Rattus norvegicus: one gene and its partner. The protein of the gene in region 1 interacts with the protein of each later gene in a biochemical or structural test. Links are inferred from orthologs where the notes say so. Each region holds a gene or a part of one and is shown in the gene's direction. Other genes may lie near its edges. The genes, in order: Rab5c and Rbsn.

Region 1 (3,913 bases):
TTACACACACGTTTAATTCCAGCACTCCAGAAGTAGAGGCAGGGGGATCTCTGGGTATTAAAATACAACCCATCTACAAAGCGAGTTCCAGGCCAATCAGAACTACATAGTGAGAGCTTATGTGGAAGAAAGGGAGAGAGAGAGAGAGAGAGAGAGAGAGAGAGAGAGAGAGAGAGAGAGAGAGAGAGCCTGCCTGTGGCAGCAGCAGGTCTGCTTTTCATCCCATCTAGTATCATCCAGAGAACTCCTGGATGTAATTTAAAAATTGCATTTCTTCACATATTTGGGGGAGGGTGGATGAGGTTTTTTTTTTTTTAAGATTTATTTATTATATATAAGTACACTGTAGCTGTCTTCAGACACAGCAGAGGAGAGCAGGTCTCATTACAGATGGTTGCATGTGGTTGCTGGGATTTGAACTCAGGACCTCTGGAAGAGCAATCAGTGCTCTTAACTGCTGAGCCATCTCTCCAGCCCTAGGATGAGTTCTTAAATGCCACGGCACACAGGTGAATGTCAAAAGACAACTTGTGGGAGTCTGTCTTACGCCATGTGAGTCCTGGGGATGGAACTCAATCAGGCTTGGCTGCAAGCACCTTTACCCGTTGAGCCATTTTGCTAGCCCCCAGAGGCCCCATTCTACAGAGTTTTCATCACTTTTTTTTTTTTTTTTTTTTTTAAAGCCAGGGTCTTACTACATAACCCTTGCGATTACTCACAGAGATCTGCCAGCCTCTGCCTTCGGAGCAAGCCATCACACCTGGCCTTTCCTATAATAGAATGTCCTCAATAATCAGCCTCCTGGATGGGCCTTGGCTTCTCTAAGTTGCCGAGGGCACACGACTGGTCTACGCGGCTACATGAGCATCATATTTTTCCTTTCTCAATTCTGCATGAACAGTCCTCGGTCTACCCTCTTGGAAAGCTCAGCCACATGCCTTCCCTCGGGGCACCTGGGACTGGCAGTGACGCGATAAGCAGGCCTAGACCGGCTCCGCCCCACCAGTAGCCGGTTCCACCCTAAACCCAAGTGCCAGGCAGCCCCCGGCTCCTCCCTGTGCTGAGAACTACAAGTCCCGCCATTCCTCGCGCGCACTCTTCCTCCTTTCCCGCGTTGATTGTGGGTAGGATCGGAGTGTCTCCCATTGGTCTGTCCTTTCTGTCAGTTACCTGAGACTATAGAGAGGCGGGGCAGAGCTGAAGATCCGGATCCGGAGCGGCTGAAAGGCGGAAGTGGAGGCCGGAGCCTGGGACACCGCCGGGGCGGGGGGAGAGGAGCGGAGTCTGTGGGAGCCCCGGCCCAAGTAACGCTGCTGCCCCGGAGCCGCGGTGAGTGTGCCTGTCCCAGGACCAGTGTCTTACCTGTGTGGAAGCCTCCCTGGGATACCCTTTCCTCCTGCCCAACCTTAGCTTAGGGGGACACTGACCCCACCCCCGACCCGTAGCCCCCTCTTAGGGGTTCACCAGGGCGTCGGGCCAAAGGGGGAGCTCCTCTTTCCTTCGCTAACCTGTACTTCGGGAGCCCTTGGGAGTCTTTTGAGGCTCTCCTCTGGCCTGTCCAGTCCACTTGTGGGAGAGAGGGACTCTAAGTTCCGCTCCCCACCCCCTCAGCTTTCAGAATCAAAGAGTCTTTACCAGGTGTGAAGGAACCTGTCTCCCTTCTCTTTTAGGGGTGGCGGAGAGTGCTGTCTCTCCTGGTTTCCTTACCTGTGTCCCCACCACCACCACCAAAAATCCCAACCAAAAAAACCAGTTGTCCCCTGCAGTCCTGAAGGAATTTTTTTTATCTCTATTTCCTTTGGGGTGTGTGGGGATGGGGGTGTCTAAATGAGAATGTTCTACACGCACAGAAGTGTGTTTGCGCCTTTACAGTTCCTTACTTCCTCTCGAGCCTACTAGGACCTCAGCAGAGTTTGAATTCTGGGCCACTTAGAAGGAATCGGCAGCCTTCTCCTTGTGCTGCACTTTATGCTCCCGGCCCAGTGTTAAGTTCTCTCTGTGTGTGTCCGTCTTCCTGCTTCTAAAGAATTTAGCTGAGCTTTGCTCAATCCCAGCGACACACAGATCAGGGAGGATCTGCTCATTCATTATCTTCTGTCTCCCCTCCTCCTTCCCCCTGCTTCAGGCTCAGCCCTGTCCTTCCAGAGCATGTGAGTGGTTTCCTTAGAGGGACTGCTGTCTGCTTATCTATAGGGAGGAGAATAGACCAAATATGAGTAGCGTGAAACTGAGGGACCATCTCTTAAGCACCGTGAATCACACAACACCATACACTTGAGCAACAGGTCCACTCCTCACTGGAGTCTCTCCCCTCCCCTCTTGGCTTGGACTTTACTACAGGGCAGCTAGGCCACATCACAGTGGCAGGTTTAGTTTTCGTCGGTAAAGGAACTGCTTATATGTGCAGAAAGTGCTGGTTCCCCTACTGTATTGTCACAGGGTCCTTGTGTTTTCCTTGGGACTTAAGTGTGTGAAATGGCTGCTATCTCTGACCAAGCTGGAAGGTTCTCGTTATGTGGCCAAAGTACAGGTCAGAGACTGCCTTCCTGAGGAGTAGCCTGATTCTGAGGCCACAGCTGACCCCTGCTGTCTTGCAGCAGGAGAAGAGTAAGAAGGCCATTCAGTCCTTGGGCGTCTCCGGTCAACTTAAGATGCTTCTTACCACACTGAACCTAAACATTTTTTGCTCTGAGATCTTTCTGACCTACTTCTAGACAGTTATAACATTTTAGGCTAATTTTGTGATGCATTTATTTCACTTCTTTTTGGATAACAAGAAACCCCTTCCTACCTGTCTCAACAGGTAGGTGAGACACCTATCCCCTCCCCCCACCTCCCACTGTGGGCTCAGAGACTCCGTGCCTGCTTATAGGAAGTGGTTTCTGCTAGACTTACCTTCCAAGGAGTGGATTGTGATTCCTGGGGTCTTGGCTGAGGCAGATGGACCTTCTAATGTGCGTTTCTGCCAGTTGTCTGAGCATCCTCTTCCCAGCTCTGACTTTAAAACACCCCTCTGCGGAAACTCTCAGTGACACAGAAGGCACTAGAGTTCTGCATGGTCCTACAGCCACTTTTGGCTTTCAGAAATTGTAGAGGCCCAGCAGAAAGCTGTTGCCGCTCTGCTGGGGATAGAGGGGTCACTGCTGAGAGGTTGCTGTTCCTCTAAGGTTGCTGTTCACCTCCCCTCTTGCTTTTCACACCTTGTTGGCCTTTCTGCCTGTCCACTCCAGGAGGAGTGTAAGAGCTAGTGTTTATGAGATATAAAGCCCCAGGGTTCTTCCCCTGCATATTCCTCACAGGAATCCTGGAGATGGTGGTATTCTTACCCCTACCTTAGAGATGATTCTCCCCTAAGACCACACAGTTAGAAGTGGTCAGACCCAGTGTTTGGAGCTTGGGTGCAAATGTAACCTTATCTTTTCTAAAAGCAGGCTCCCCTCCTATCTGCTGTGCTTGTTAAGTGAAGGAGCCTGCAGGAAGAGTGAACCAGGACATGACTACAGACTCTTAGCCTTCCATCTCTCGCCTTTGCTTTTGCCTCCCTCTCTTTCCCAACATTCCACCCTCTTCCTCTGCCGTGGCCTCCATGACAGTTAAGAATCCCAAGCCTGTACTCTTCAGGGCCTAAGAATTTGCTAACGTCTGTGTGTCATAATTTCTCCAAAACCTAACTCATGACGGCTAGAAAACGAAAGTAAAAGTGACAAGCGGAGTGGTCCCCCTGGGCAGGACTGAAAGGCTCCACCTTCTGATTTCCCTCTGACACTCCCTGCTGATTTTGAGACAGGGTCTTGCTGTATAGCCCTGGCTGTCCTGGAACTGCCTTTGTGGACCAGGCTACTCTGGAACCCATAGAGGTATGTCCTTTGTCTTTGCCTGTCAGGCAATAGGGTTAAAGATGTCCATCACCATG
Region 2 (3,813 bases), on another chromosome or scaffold:
TTTTATGCTATTTATTTAATTTATTTTGAACTATGGTCTCTCCGTGTAGCTCTGGCTGGCCTAAACTCACTGTTTAGATCAGTATGTTCTTGAACCTACAGAGATCTGCTTGTCTCTTTTTTTCTGAGTGCTGAAACTAGAGGTGTGTGCCATCATACTCACAGGCGTTTGGGAATCGCTGCACAAGCCACTCAAACACCAAGCTCAGTCAAAGAGGTATGACTTAATGAATGCCACACCCCAGACTGATGGATCAGGGCCACAGGTCAGACTTGGCAGCTGACTGTGACCATAAGTCAAGATCCTGTAGGGCTTTTTAATAAGCCTGAAATTTACAAACATCTGTGACAAGTTATTTCACCAGTCAGGATTTAGGGATGGGGACTTCTTTATAGACCATGCCTTCGCTGTGCACTTACCCCGCTCCCATTGGTTGGAGGATTCAACTATGGTAGAAGACTTGCCTTGTCTGAACTTGTCAACCAAGATGGGACTTGTCTAACATTCATGTCTTAACTTGCTAACCAGGATGTCAGTTACCCACATACATTTTTCTTTCTGCCAAGTAGTATGTCAGTTCCCAGGGAAGTCTTGGGAACTTAAAGTTCACTTGACCTCTACTTAAAATGGAAGTCTTTTCCAAATAGTTTCTTATAGTGGTACAGGTGTCTCTCTTATGTTAGGGTCCATCCCAGGGGGAGTTTATAAAAGCAAATACCATAAAAGCTTATACACAGGTTCAGGAAGTGCTGCTGGGTGGAGTTCAGGTCCAAACTTGTTGTGGGTAACTATACAAAGCAGTTTTACTGATTTTATCATGATTGGTTTCCAAGGGTACAGAGCATAATAGAATACATAATCAACTTGGACATGAGAAAGTTTCCTAGTAACAGAAGCAATATATGAGAAAGTTTCCTTATAATGTTAGTAACAGCACTAGACAGATAACAGGCCTTAACATTCTATCTAGACCTTAATATTTTATGTAGGCCTTAATAGCATTCATATTTATAACAAAAAAATGGAATACCAAAATATTGCATACAGGTATCAGGTTTCGAAGGCAGTTTTTAAAATTACATTTATTCATCTATTTTGTGTTGGTTGGGGCATATGCCATGGTACATCTGTGGAGGTCAAAGGATAGTTTCCTGGAGTAAGTTCTTTCTTATCATTTGGGTGCTGGTGGTCAAACACAGGTCTTTAAGTTTGGTGGCAAGTACTTTTTTATCTATTGAGCTATCTCACTTGCCTCTTGGAGTCAGTTTTTTGTTTTTTTTTGTTTTTGTTTTTTTTTGTTTTTTCCCGGAGCTGGGGACCGAACCTAGGGCCTTATGCTTGCTAGGCAAGCGCTCTACCACTGAGCTAAATCCCCAACCCCTTGGAGTCAGTTTTAAGTAGACAAGATCAACTCACTATTTCTGAAAGTGTCTGTGGGTTTGAGCCAACCCTGGTCCAGCAGTATTTAAGCCCTTTTACAGTAGCCAGAAGAAAAGATGGTTGAAAATTGACTGTAGCTTCTGTTTTATTTTCAAAGATGCATGGGTGGGTTAACTGGGCTCCTTTGGAAAGACTACATCTACTCAGCAGACAGTCCCTTTATTGTCCAAAGTGGTTAAATAGTGCGGACTGCCCTTTTTGTTTAGGATAGTTTAGTCGTGTTTACAAAGTGAAGACTGTGTTAGGCATGGTAGTACACACCTTTAGTTTTGGGTGGGAGAACTAGTTTAGTTTAGGTGAATGTCTGCTAGTTCAAGGTAAGTGTAGTGTCATCCAGGATAGTTAGGGCTACATAGACAGACCCTGTCTGAAAACAAACAAAAATCTACCATCCTGGTTCCCTCATTGAATTTGATTTGGCTCTTAATTTTTTTTTTTTTTTTTTTTTTTTTTTTTTTTTTTGAGCTGGGTACCGAACCCAGGGCCTTGCGCTTGCTAGGCAAGAGCTCTACCACTGAGCTAAATCCCCAACCCCGATTTGGCTCTTTATGTTTAGATGGACTATTAAACTTGGCAGTAAGCAGGTACTTAGCCTGTATGTTGGAAACATGAATAGCATTCTGCTGGTCCTGACTTCTGTGGGGTTGGTAAGAAGGTCTTTACTTACTGCTGTATTTCTCTTGAGATCTGAATATTCTTGTGCATTTATTTCTTTTATATAATCTTGGGCTTATTTGTGGTATTTGTTTTATTTTTTTTCAAGATCTTGTTCAGAAGGCTAGGAAAGCAAAGAACAAGTTGTTGAAACGAGAAGGAGATGATCGTGTGGAGCCAGGGACCCAAGGATACGAATCATTCAGCTATGGAGGGGTTGATCCTTACATGTGGGAACCTCAAGAGCTTGGTAAGAACATTTATTAATTCATTCAGTGCTTATGAGATATCTACCCTGTTTTAGGTCTTTTTTTTTTTTTTCAATTTTAAAATTTTATTTCTCTTTCAATTTTAAAATTTTATTTCTCTCTCTTTCAATTTTAAAATTTTATTTCTCTCTCTCTTTCAATTTTAAAATTTTATTTTCTCTCTTTCTCTCTTTCTCTCTCTCTCTCTCTCTCTCTCTCTCTCTCTCTCTCTCTCTCACACACACACACACACACACACACACACACACACATTGATTATATTTTCCCTGTATTAGTCCGGCTTCTCTAAAGGAACAGATAGAATATAGAATATGTTTCTAGTAGTTCAAAACTGGCTATCTCAAGACGGAGAGGCTGAGAATCTTGTAGTTGTTAGTCTCTGTAGTCACAAACTGATGGATTCCTAGAGAGCTGCTGGGCTTCAGTCTGTGCTGCAGTCCTGAAGAATTTGGATTCTGCAGCGACAGAATGGGCGAATTTGCCATTGAGATTGAGGACAAACAGACTAAAAAGCAAAGTTCCTTCTTCCATAGCCTTTTATGTGGGCTGCCACCAGAAGATGTGGCCCAGATTTAGGACAGATCTTTTTGTTTTAAATAATCTAATTAAGAAAATTCCTCATAGGAGTCCTTGGCAGCTTGGATTTTAGTTGATTCAGATACTGTAAAGTTGACAGCCAAGATTAGTCATTACACCCTCATCTGTCATCCTCTCTGATCCTCTCCCTCTCCCACTGAACCCTTTCTTCTCAACAGGTCACCCTCCTACTTTGACTGGGTTAGGTATTGTTCTAGGAGCTGACTGAGAAAGCATCAATCAGTAAACCCTCAGGGATAGGCATCTTACTGGCCTTAAGTCCTGCTAAGGAGAGAAAGTGGAAGGGAACGAATTGAGATCTCTTAATTAAGCACTGTGCTAAATGCTTTGTATGCGTGCCTTCCTTTGAGTGTGTGTGTCTCTAGGAACCTTCTGAGGATCAAATAGTGGCCAAACTACAGCAGCAGGGCCATCATTCTGGGGCTTTCTTGTGTCAGCCTAGCCGTAGACCCCACTGACAGATCTGTCTCCTTTCAGGTTATCTGACAAGTGAGGGCACTGTACAGCTTACTTTCCTCATGCGCACAGTTATAACTTGTCCTCGTTAGTTCCTTTTTAAACTGCAAGAGCTGGGAGTAGAACCTGAGGGCCGGGCAAGCGCTGTGCAAGAGGTTCGTTCCCAGCTCTATTCTTTTTTTGAGATGGGGTCTCACTATATGTAGTCCTGGCTGTCCTGGAACTCATGATATAGATCAGGCTGGCTTAGAACGTAGAGATTTGCCTGCCTCTGCCTCCTGAGTGCTGGGATTAAAGTGCATACCACTATGCCTAGCTTCTTCTCTACTTTCAAACTGATAAAAATGGTCTGACATTTCTTTCGGTTATTCAATTTTGTGAACATACTAAACAACTT

Evidence for each region.
Region 2: the proteins of Rab5c (region 1) and Rbsn form a complex in vitro, tested with the Homo sapiens proteins (2 studies listed by BioGRID and IntAct, with this or other methods). The link is inferred for Rattus norvegicus from reciprocal best matches to the Homo sapiens genes RAB5C and RBSN.

What each region holds. Positions count from the first base shown.
Region 1 is NC_086028.1:86,163,759-86,167,671, reverse strand, and holds the start of Rab5c (ras-related protein Rab-5C), read left to right. Parts: upstream 1-1,222; 5' UTR 1,223-1,329; intron 1,330-3,913. UniProt on the Homo sapiens protein: The small GTPases Rab are key regulators of intracellular membrane trafficking, from the formation of transport vesicles to their fusion with membranes.
Region 2 is NC_086022.1:126,259,595-126,263,407, reverse strand, and holds part of Rbsn (rabenosyn-5), read left to right. Parts: intron 1-2,203; coding exon 2,204-2,344; intron 2,345-3,813. UniProt on the Homo sapiens protein: Rab4/Rab5 effector protein acting in early endocytic membrane fusion and membrane trafficking of recycling endosomes. Required for endosome fusion either homotypically or with clathrin coated vesicles.